Linked DNA regions of Rattus norvegicus. The protein of the gene in region 3 interacts with the protein of the main gene of each other region in a biochemical or structural test. Links are inferred from orthologs where the notes say so. Each region holds a gene or a part of one and is shown on either strand. Other genes may lie near its edges. The genes, in order: Mapk8ip2, Gadd45b and Map2k7.

The links.
Region 1: the proteins of Map2k7 (region 3) and Mapk8ip2 form a complex in vitro, tested with the Homo sapiens proteins (2 studies listed by BioGRID). The link is inferred for Rattus norvegicus from reciprocal best matches to the Homo sapiens genes MAP2K7 and MAPK8IP2.
Region 2: the proteins of Map2k7 (region 3) and Gadd45b form a complex in vitro, tested with the Homo sapiens proteins (2 studies listed by BioGRID and IntAct). The link is inferred for Rattus norvegicus from reciprocal best matches to the Homo sapiens genes MAP2K7 and GADD45B.

Annotation. Positions count from the first base shown.
Region 1 is NC_086025.1:122,409,260-122,412,904, reverse strand, and holds part of Mapk8ip2 (C-Jun-amino-terminal kinase-interacting protein 2), read right to left. Parts: intron 3,561-3,645; coding exon 3,282-3,560; intron 3,166-3,281; coding exon 3,066-3,165; intron 2,952-3,065; coding exon 1,704-2,951; intron 1,327-1,703; coding exon 1,251-1,326; intron 1,116-1,250; coding exon 943-1,115; intron 853-942; coding exon 743-852; intron 1-742. UniProt on the Homo sapiens protein: The JNK-interacting protein (JIP) group of scaffold proteins selectively mediates JNK signaling by aggregating specific components of the MAPK cascade to form a functional JNK signaling module.
Region 2 is NC_086025.1:9,428,396-9,432,140, forward strand, and holds Gadd45b (growth arrest and DNA damage-inducible protein GADD45 beta), read right to left. Parts: upstream 2,324-3,745; 5' UTR 2,092-2,323; coding exon 2,048-2,091; intron 1,960-2,047; coding exon 1,858-1,959; intron 1,434-1,857; coding exon 1,211-1,433; coding exon of another isoform or gene 1,007-1,210; exon of another isoform or gene 969-1,006; coding exon 855-968; 3' UTR 294-854; downstream 1-293.
Region 3 is NC_086030.1:7,388,472-7,392,134, forward strand, and holds the start of Map2k7 (dual specificity mitogen-activated protein kinase kinase 7), read left to right. Parts: upstream 1-795; 5' UTR 796-881; coding exon 882-1,005; intron 1,006-2,649; coding exon 2,650-2,697; intron 2,698-3,663. UniProt on the Homo sapiens protein: Dual specificity protein kinase which acts as an essential component of the MAP kinase signal transduction pathway. Essential component of the stress-activated protein kinase/c-Jun N-terminal kinase (SAP/JNK) signaling pathway.

The DNA.
Region 1 (3,645 bases), on a different chromosome or scaffold from region 3:
GGGAGAAGTCAGAGAAGATGGTGGGGAAGGGGGCCTTGAGGACCTCATCATGGGTGCCCTCTCTCTCTCTCTCTCTCTCTCTCTCTCTCTCTCTCTCTCTCTCTCTCTCTCTTTCCAAGCCTCTGTTCATTTTAGATTGTCTTCGTACTCTTGTCACCTAAGGCCCCAGAGACAATTCTGGAAGAACAAAAGGATGACCTTGGCTATCTTTGCCTTCAGAACAAGTCAGTCATCACTATGTACCTGGTCTCCCTTCTGTTCCAACAGCTTCTCTTGGTTCAGGTGCCAAGAACTTATTCTGCCCACACTTCCAGCCACCTCACTGCCTGATCTCCATAACCTGGCTGGAGTTCTTTGATATAGATGGTCTGTCCTGCCACCCAGGGCACGTCAGGCTCAGTTTTGCATGGCAGATCAGCAGGTACTGATAATTGTCTCAGGGATTCCCAGGGAAGGGGGCATGAGCATTGACTTTAATTTCAGACAGAAGGTTGATGGCTTACGGGAGGAGGAATCAGCAGAGAGGGGAAAGATTTGCTTGAACTGACCAATAGACCCAGAGGTAAGAGAGACAGGTGCTTTGCTCTGCTCTGAGTTTTTCTGACTGGGCCTGAGAGCCAGCCCTATATATAATATCTCCCTTCAAGAAGGCTTAGAACCACGGGAGCTGTGCCACCCTGTGAGACTGGAGTGACATTCAAGTGGGCCTCCAGCCTGTGCCTGACGCCATCTCCACACTGACCTTTTGCATGGCTGCACACAAGATACCATTGCCCTGGTGACATGGTACCTCCACAGAGCCCAAGAACTGCACATCGAAGCGATCCACCCAGCAAGGGCTCCGCTTGCTCCCTGGAGGGTTGGGAGAGGAAGTCACATGGTCAGAGGGTGATATGGGGGAAGTCTGTGGTGGCAAGCTTTCTCTGGAGGGTGGGATCTTACCCAGCAGGTCCTTGGCAGGACCAGGTACTGCATGGGCGTAGAAGGCAGGGAACACTCCACGCTCGCCGGTGCGCATGTTGAAGCCACGGAACCAAAAGTCGTCCTCTTCGGCTTCCACCAACACCGGGTCGTCCACATCTAACTCTAGTTCATCTGGATGTCGAGGGATGAACCTGAGGGCAGGGGAGAGGTTGACTGAGACCACACTGGCCGAGATAAGTCACATACACACTCCTTAGTCACACTCCTTAGTGTCCTAAGGAGTCTACAGACTGGGCCTGGGGTGGGGCTGAGGGAGGGTAATGTACCTGAAGACAGCCCGGTGTGTCTGCTCTCTCTCTTCTCCATTGACCACACAGGAAAAAAGACCGAAGGACTCAGTGCCTGAGAGACAAGAGAGACAGTGATGGGGAGAATCAGCAGTGCCATAGAGAAAGAAACTGAAAGGCCTGGCCTTGGGCTGGAGCCAAACCCCCTCCCTGCAACAAACTGTTTGGACATCCTAAGTCAAGGAAGAAGGAAAGGGTAACCCACTACCGGCTGACTCCCTGCCACTTGGAGATGAACATTGCCTATTGTTCTAAGAAAGAAAGAAAGAAAAAAAAAAAAAAGAATGGTCCAGCCTTGACCAACTGGTCAAGAATTTAAGACCCCCTGAAAAAAAAGACCCCCTGGATACTTCGGGGGACCAGATAGGGGCTGGGGCCAGGATGGCACTTCTTCCTCTAGGGCCTCCACACATCTCCCCACTTCCCACTCACTGGAAGATCGAGATGTGCTGTTGACAAAGACATTGAGGAACTTCTTGGAGAAGGTGAGGTCGGGGCTGTCAGGAGAGGCGTCTTCTGGCACCTGGTCACTGCCTAGTAACGTAGCTCCCGCCTCTTCCTCACTGGCCTCGCAGCTGCTGTCCTCTTCACTGTCGTTGTCCAGGCCTGCACAGCGCCGCAGGCTCACCAGCTCTAGCTGCGTGTGCTCATCCACCACTAGTGTGTATTTAACCGCATCGTACACCAGCGAGGCATCCAGCGGCGCAGTAGAGCCTGTAGTCCTGGAGCCAGGGGGAATCACGCTGTCCTCAGCATCCTCCTCATCCTCCTCGTCCTCTTCCTCATCCTCCTCCTCCTCCTCCGAGCAGGCAGCAGAGCAGGAGCGGCCAGGGCGAGCAGTGCGTCCAGGTGGGGCCCAAAGTGGGGTGATGGTATCACGTGTTGGGTTACTAAGGAAAAGGCAGGGCCCAGACTGCGCTGGACCAAGCCGAGGTGCTGCAGGGGCCGGCGGAGGTGGCCCGCAAAGGGTGTCCATGTCCACTAACTCCACGTGGGGCCCTGCTACTGCCTCAGGGTCTGGGCAGTCCTGGGGTACCGGGTTGGCCTGGGATGCAGCCTCTTCTGGCGGGCGTGGTGCAGGAGGAGACAAGCACTGGCCAGGGCAACGAATAGGCGAGGAGCCCTCGGAGATCATGCGGCTCACCAGGTTGCTGAGTAGCCAGGGCGAGTCAGCATCCTCACTCAGATCAGGCTCAGACTCAGAGCCGGACTCATACTCGCTGTTGGTGTCGTCCTGGCCCACAGGCAGGAAGGCAGGGCGGCGGGGAGGTTCATGTAGTGGCTCGGGCTCGGGCTCAGGTTCAGGCTCTGAGGCTGGGGACGAAGCCTCCTCGATAGAGTTGGTGAGGTGTGAGGAGCGGCCGCTGCTGCTGCCACTGTCACTGCTCAGCTCCAGCTCCGTCTCAGAAATGGAAGAGATCATGCGCCCTAGGCGTGCGCCGCCTGCCTCCTCAGAGTCCGAGCCTGGTGATGAGAGCTCCTGGCTGCTTCGCCGACCTTCATGGCCTCCACTAGAGTGGCTTCTCAAGTCAGCCTCGATACCAGGATCCGAGGAAGGGGAAGCCCCACCTGATGCTGGTGGCTCTGGCGGCTGGTTCCCTTCACAGTCACAACCAGGGCGTGCAAGGGACTGTACCTCATGGTGCTCCTCTTCTGCTGGTAAGAGAGGGGCTGGTAGCTCTGCAGGGCAGAGAGTTGGGTTACTGCCTCCAGAAAGCAGGCCTCCTTCAAGCAACCAGCCATCCCTCCCCCCCTCCCTCTTCCGCTGGGCTCCTAACTGCCTCCATCCCTCACCTTTAAGGGGCTCCTGGACTGGTGAACGCAGCACTGTTTCCTGCCAGGAAGATGGGGGCGCAGAGGTAAAGCCTCCATTGCTGTTGTTGTTGAGGGAGTCCTAGGTAGGAGGACAAATCGGTATAGCTGAGGACCACTCCGTCAATAAGGAGAAGAAAGGACCCGCTACAGTGGCCCCGAACTCAGCTCTAGTACTGTGTGTCTCAGGAGGCTCACCTGGGCTCCAAGTGTAGTCAGGTGGAGGGTGGTGGGTCGGAGCTTGTGGGACTCCTCTATGGAAGGAGAGGGAATAAGGGATTCTCCAGAAAGTTCCTGTGAACCAGATCCTCCCCCTGCTCTGCCGTCCCCGTCTCCATCTTCCTCCTCTTCCTCCTCTTCCTCCTCCTCCTCATCTTCCTCTTCCTCATTGTCATCGATCATCTCAAACTCCTGGAAATCATCTTGGAAGGAACAGATAGGGTGCGGCTGCTCTGAGCGACCCAGGGAGAGACTGTCCTGCAGGAAGGAGGAACAAGACAGGGATGGGCCAGAGTACATCAATCACCTGGAGTCCCAGGCACTAGAAAAGGCGGGGAAGCAG
Region 2 (3,745 bases), on a different chromosome or scaffold from region 3:
TTGAGAGGTGATCGCTCAGTAGGGTGGTGACGGAGATTGCAGCCATCTTCCCGGCGTTCCCAGACCCCAGCTTCAGCACAGTGGGTAACAGTGGGGGATGGGCCGCCAGGTTTCGTAATAAACCCGCGTCTTAATTGCTATGAAGCTGGAGTTGGGTGGTGGCGCCTACAACAGACAGCAGTAGCGTCTGGAGCTGCGGAGCTCAGAGCTCCTAACACGGCTTGGTGGCCGGTGGCGCGACACAGGGTAGCCAGAAGGGGCGGTGGGCAAGTGGGAAAAACAACGAGAACAGGAAGGCTTAACCAGTTTATTGGAATGTCTCTGTAGTAGAAATTTTTAAAAAATATGCAAGCGATCTGTCTTGCTCAGCACAATACTAAAGTAGATGTGCCTTAGCTGCGAAGTCCCGGGCTCGAGTCCCGGCTCCCGCGTCGAGGGTCGCCGCCCTCCGCTGAGTTACGCACAGTTCACTGTCCAGCGGGGTGGGGGACGCCTCGCCCCACCCCTGCGGCGGTGTCCAGACCGTCTGCTGCTGCGTGCAGAGGCTGGCTGCATGATTGCCAGGCCTTGGCTCTAAAGTCTCTGTCTCCTCCAGCCTGAGGTCCCCTCCTTCCTGTCTTGGCGACCACCTGTGGTGCTGGCTCCTGGCTCCATAGCCCAGGGGGCGGGCGGGCGCACACTCCCCTCTCCTCGTCTCAGTCTCGGTGACTCCGCCCCTCCCGGAAGGTATCACGGGTAGGGTAGCTTTTGAGGGATTGTTCTGGGGAATGAGGGGGCGCTGTCAAATATGTATTTTATTTAATTTTTTTAGGGGACAGCAACTCAACAGTTGCTTTAGGTGTTTAGAGTGGGCCTCAGCGTTCCTCCAGAGAGATATAGGGGACCCACTGGTTATTGCCTCTGCTCTCTTCACAGTAACTGGCCACCTCCACCAAGCCTTGGCTTTTCCAGGAATCTGTATGACAGTTCTGTTGGAGGGAGAAAAAGAAAGGGTTTAGTGGGAGCTCTAGGAGTTCGGTAGGGAGCCTCTGTTCAGCTCCAGAAGCCCTATTAGAGAAAAACAGGCTAGCTCAAAATAGCTGCCAGGGTGACGAGGCAGCCCACGGGACATGCCGAGCATGGCTGGGCAGTGAGCTGGTGTTGGAGCAGCCAGCCCAGCTATGTTGACAAACACGGGACCCAGGTGATCAGGGCGGGGTGGGTCACTCACCGTGACCAGGAGGCAGTGCAGGTCTCGGGCCTCGTTTGTGCCTAGAGTCTCTGCCGGCTCACCCAGGAGCTGCGCCAGCCTTTGCATGCCTGATACCCTGACGATGTCAATGTCATTGTCGCAGCAGAACGATTGGATCAGGGTGAAGTGAATTTGCAGAGCAATATCATCCTCCTCTTCTTCGTCTATGGCCAGCAGGCACAAGACCACGCTGTCGGGGTCCCTGCAGGAAAGAAGGAGTGTCAGAGGGACGCCAGACCAGGAGCGGGTGTAGCCATGCACGGAGGAGGGCATTAGCTCCGGGAACCTCAGGGGGAGGGGTGAGCAAGACCCAGGGTGCAAGGGTGCCGGGGTGGCCGACTATGCAAATACTGATGGCGGGGAGGAAGGAAGCAAGCAGTCCAAAGTTATTGGGATTGCTTGTCAAAACAAAAAACACAAAACCTCAAACTTGCAAAGTCAGGGTTCTGCAGCGAGTCTCTTTCCCTCTCCCAAAAAATTCTCTGAGAAATGTCGCCCTCCACTCCCCAACTCCCAGGAGCGCTGGGAAAGTCCCCCAAAGCCCCGAGCCCTAGAGGGATGTTGGAGCGCGCGTGCATCAGAGGGGCGCCCCCACCCACGCCCGAGAAAAGGGGGTGCTGACTCACACATTCATCAGTTTGGCCGCCTCGTACACCCCCACGGTGAGGCGATCCTGACGCTGCGCGGCCACCAGCAGCTGCTCCACCGCCGCAGTCACCGCCTGCATCCTAAAAGGCCAAATGGGGAGATTAGGCGATGACAGCCCAGCAGACCTCAGGCGGCGGGCGAGAAGACCTCGGTCTCCGTTGTACTCACTTCTGAACCGCGTTGTCGCTCGCCACCAGCTCTTCCAGGGTCATGATTCAGTCACACTTCACAGCGGACCCCCACGGAAGATCCCCAAGGCAAAGCACTCGTCCAGATCCGAACCCAAGAGGTAAAAACCTTCCCGCGCGACCAGAAGTGTCCGAGGCTTTCCGGAGGCGGTGGGACTTACTTTCCCAAGAAAAAAGCAGGATTAAAAAGAAGATTGCAAAAAAATCCCCCTCGAAATTAATCCAAGAAGACGGAGGTGACACGGATCCCGGGTTGACGCGGAGTGAGCGCGCCGGCGCTGCAAGCCGCTTATAAGACCGCCCGGGAGAGGGCGTGGCCAGGGGAGGCATGCACCGCCCATCCATTGGTGGAGGCACAAAGAGCCGAGTAGCCTGCGCTGAGATTGGCTGGAGGTAGGAAAGGGCGGAGCTCGGATCTCCGGCGGCCCCACGTGGGGGTCAGGGCTGGGAGGAGCGTGAACCCAGGCAGCGGCGACTGCCAGCGAATCGAGAGAGGAAAAAAAAACCACACACACAGACAAAAAAAAAAAAAAAAAAAAAAAAAAAAAACACAGAAGTTTCTCTCCTGATTTCCCGGCAGCCGCGCTACGCAGGCCGCGCGCGGGGTTTCCAGCGCGAGAGGCTGGCTTGAACTTTCGGGGAGAGCTGTCTGGAATCCCCTCCCTGTCCCCGGAGAGTCCCTAGCCTTTCCCAAGCTCTAAAAGAAGGGATGTGCATGGGCCAGGAGGCTAAGTCTGCAGCTCGGCCTTGGAGAGTTGGAGAGTGTTTAAATAAGTCTAAGGTATATAGTAAACACTTGGTAAGTTTGAGGACCGTGGGATCCTCTCCCCAAAGTGAGAACTACAAAGGCATCCCACCAGCGCATACAAAGGTGCTCTGAGAACGCTCAGCCCCCTCAGGCGGGGGTCGCGGGAGAGGCACACAGGAAGCTTCCCAGTGGTCGTGGTAGGTGGTTTGGCGGTGCCCCAGGGGTCCTGGCTGCAGAGCACTAAGGGATCCCAGGAGGAAAGATCCGGAACCCCTTTTCCCCGCTCCTGGCACCCCGAGTTTCAGATGAGCCGGGGAGGCGCAGGTGAAGAGCCTTCCAGACGCTCTCCGGAGCGGCCCCGCCCCCTGCCGGCTGCCTCCCGGTCTATCCTCAGACCGCGTCACCACACCTGATCCGGTGCTGCCCCCTGGGAGTGGTGGCTGAAAGGCAGCCCCCTTTTTTTTTTTTTTTTTTTTTTTTTTTTTTTTTTTTCCGGAGCTGGGGATCGAACCCAGGGCCTTGCGCTTCCTAGGTAAGCGCTCTACCACTGAGCTAAATCCCCAACCCGGCAGCCCCTTTTATGTCCCTGGCATTTTTGTAGTACGCAGCATGAACCACAGGCCCCCTCTTCCATGAGTGTCATTTATCTTTCCAAGGTTTGGCCGGCTATCTGCATTGTGCAAAATGGAAACTGAGGTCTCCGAGGGCGTTCTGTGAGCCACAGTATGAGGGCTGGTAGCGGACGGCAAGGACATGAGGGAGGCAGACAGACCCCGCGTGGGATTCTCCCACAGCGCACGGGGGCTCCCGGTGAATCACCCTGAGTCCCCTCCTCCGCCAGCCTGGGTCCTGGCCTCAGCCGCGCGGCTCGATTCGCCGGATCCCCCATCCCGGGTCTGGTGACGCATCCTGCATCCTCCGCGCCGCCCA
Region 3 (3,663 bases):
ATACAAACTTTATCCTTGTACTCTTGGAAGGACTTAAACTATGTTGGATGCGGATGGATCAAGCAGGGCAGAGGCATCTAACCCCAGGGACTGCCTTCAGACATTGGTTTCAGGAGCTGAGTCCGGATTCTCAGGGCGAAGCCATGGGGATGGGACGCCTTGAGGTCTCAGGGCCAGAAGTCTATCTAGCTTTAATCTTGATTCTGACACTGAGCTCAGGAGTCACCAACCCTGGATTCCCTCTCCTCTTGTCAGGCTTTGATCTACTCTCAGTTTGCTGGAACTGGGTGAAATGGAAAGGAGTTACCACAGGTACCTAATTACAGTGAGGAGGCGGCTTCAAGCTAACAGCGAGAGTTCAGGCCGCAATTAAGCATAACAGGTCCTAATGAAGGACTGTCCAAGGTTGAGGAAGGTTGTTCTGTGAGGGCGCGGGTACCAGAGAGGCCTGGAGATGCACACGGAGTGAAGAATAATCCAGGAACAGCCGTGAGCGTGCGCAGCAAAGGCGCGAGTTTGGTCTCTGCACGCAGGCGTGCGGTTGACCGGCCTTCGCTTTCTCTTTTTTTTTTTTTTAAAGTGATTTCCAACAGCGCCACACCCCGCCCCCGGAAAGCTCACGCATGCGCACTGCGGGAGGTGGCGGTGGGTAGTGACAATGCACGAGGCCAGACTCGAGCTCTAGGTGGCATCGTCTTCCTATTGGGACCCAGTGCGCACGCGCGGCGTTATGCACGCGAGGCAGGGCGGGCACGAGCCGGGGTGGTCTAGGCAGGACGGCGGCTCGGCGGGGTCATCCTAGCGCAGGCGCAGTGCGGTGTTTGTCTACCCGGGACTGACGGGTGGCCTGGCGGTGAGCGGCGGCAGCGGCGGCGGGGAAGATGGCGGCGTCCTCCCTGGAGCAAAAGCTGTCCCGCCTGGAGGCCAAGCTGAAGCAGGAGAATCGTGAGGCCCGCAGGAGGATCGACCTCAACCTGGATATAAGCCCACAGCGGCCCAGGCCCAGTAAGCACGGCCGCGTGGGGGAGGGGCGGGCGGGGCGGGGCGCGCAGTGGGAGGCCCCGCCCATCGGGCAGATCCTGCCCCCGCTTCCGGGGCGCTAGCTCTCCTCCCCTCCACTCTCTACGCTGTCAGCTTGCAGGGAGAGGGTCACGGTGACCTGGGAGTCGGGTGGGCAGTCTCCAGGGCTACTCGGTCCCCACACATACCGCGGTCCTGAAGTTCACAGCATGGGTACCTGAGAGCTTAGTGTCTGGGTTCCCCTCACCCCCATGGTCGGCTCCCAGAGCCTTGTCACCTGCACCTCGCAGGCTTTCAGACCCGAAGCTAAGCTACTGTGACTACAGCCAAGGCTCTCAACTCTGCAAACAGTTATATCTCTTTTGATTCAGTGGTTCCACTCCTGCCGTTTCAGTGACTGTCAAAAGGTCCCTTCCCCCAGCAAACAGTCCACACACGTGCATGCTTGTCTGTCCACGTAGGTCACCTAGTCTTCATCTACATCTAATCCTTTTCGGTGAGAAGCTTCTTCCGTTTGACTTCTTTGATCATATCAGATGGCTCCTTAGCTGGAAGGACCTTGTCACCGGACCCAGCTGACTGCCTCCTACATACAGGGGTACCTCATATCCCTGTGACCAGCTAGTTTCACTATTGCTGTCTAGTGTGTCTAGCCCGCTGGAAACACATAACCATCTCTCAGCCTGACAATTTTGTCTCCTGGGCTCAAGTGACTGCTAGCACTACAGACACCTGTAATTAGTCTAGTTCCATCAAGTAGACACACACCTCCTTTCTGATTCCACCATCTTTGGGTCTGCCTCCCTGACATATAAGTGCTTCCCCTTTCTTTCTGTACACATATACGGTTTGTCCATCATAACCACAGTTAGCATCCTTGTACCCCAGATATCCCTGTCCCCAAATCATCTTTGCTGGAAAGAATCTGATTTTTCTCTCTTCTTGCCAACCTTCTCTCTGTCCCTCTTTGATCCAGCAGAATGTCTTCTTTATATCCTCTGTGATATAACCTTTGAGTATATATATGTTTTATAGTTGTCTGTGGGGTCACTATGGTAAGAGGGGAAAGGCAGCCTCCCATAGGAGAGAATTCTGTTCACTATTTGGTCGTCTTCCTGAAGAGGCATTCAGGATTCTCTCCATCTCTCCCAGCTTCTGGCCGAGTTCCATGTTTCCTTCCTGGGAGTCTCTTCCAGGACCTGGAGATACCCAGAGGTGGGGGATGTGTTTCATTGGATTCTGCCTAGGACTGAAGGCTGGGCCAAGACTTGGAAGGCCCCTGCTGGATTCTAGGGTGGTCCTTCCACGCCTCAGTATGGATGAGACAGTGTTGGGTATAGGGTTCTACGTGCCCTAAGAGCTGCCGGTCCGTAGAGCAGATTAAGACCTGGTCAGGCTAGTGACTGGCAGGCCTCAAGGAGCCCCCTGCAGGTGTCTGTGTCTGTCAGATCCACACCCCCTCCCACCATCCCATCTCTGTTGGTTTCTACCCATCTCTGCAGTTTGGTGCCTTGTGCCTCCCCCTCCTCTTCATTATGATTTGATTTCTTTTCTGTTGGACAAATCGGTTGTTTCTGTTGTGATTTATTGTGGTGTTTTTTTTTTTCTTTTCTTCCTTTCCCCATCCAGTTATTGTGATCACTCTAAGCCCTGCTCCTGCCCCGTCCCAGCGAGCAGGTACCAGCCTTTTTATCATTGCTGCTTGCGTATCTGCACATTGACCTAACCGCTGCCCCAGCCGCAGAATGCCATCCCCACCCCATGCTCTGTGTTGTGCTCTGTGTGTGTGTGTGTGTGTGTGTGTGTGTGTGTGTGTGTAAATAAAGTAGGTAGAGATAGGTGCACTGCTCTTACTTAATCTGTCTCAACTATGGAGTGAGTGAGTCGTCATTTGTACACTGTGTCTCAGGCCCAGGAACACAGCAGTAAGTAAAACAGACCAAGCTCCTGTACGGTGCTGAGTCTGCAGGACGGGGTCCATCAGTACACACGAAGCACAGTCCTGATGCAGTAGAAGAGTCCAGTGGGGTCTCTCAGAGAAAACCTATGGAGGATTTGGGATTTGAGCAAAAGTGTCCCAGGAGGTTAGGGGAGGCAAGACACCCCCTGCCCCCACCCCCACCCGCACACATAAGGACTCCATGCTAGGTAGCTCAGCTGTGCTGGTTCCTAGGTGTATAGTGTCCCATCTGCATAAGAGAAAGAGCACCTGTGTTGGCAGAAATGAGGAGAGCTGACTATTGGTGGTAGTGTGCTCCCAGCTCGTGTGTATACGTGGATGTGTGCATGTGTGTTCCGTGTGTGCTCCCAGCTCGTGTGTATACATGGATGTGTGCATGTGTGTTCCGTGTGTGTTCCCAGCTTGTGTGTATACATGGATGTGTGCGTGTGTGCTCTGTGTGTACATATTTGTCTGTTTGCATTTGAGTGTATGTATGTTGGGCCGGTAGTCTGCACACCTAAGGGCCCCATAAGTGGGCACGTGACTCCATGATCTGTCTTGCTTTCTCTCATTCATTCATTCATTTATTTGTTCGTTCATTCTCACTTTTTTCTCCCTCACTGACTTATACTTAATCTACTCTCTAGGCCTGCCATGTGGCTCTAATCCCCTCTAACTTCTGTTCTCAGGGCTTTTGTGTA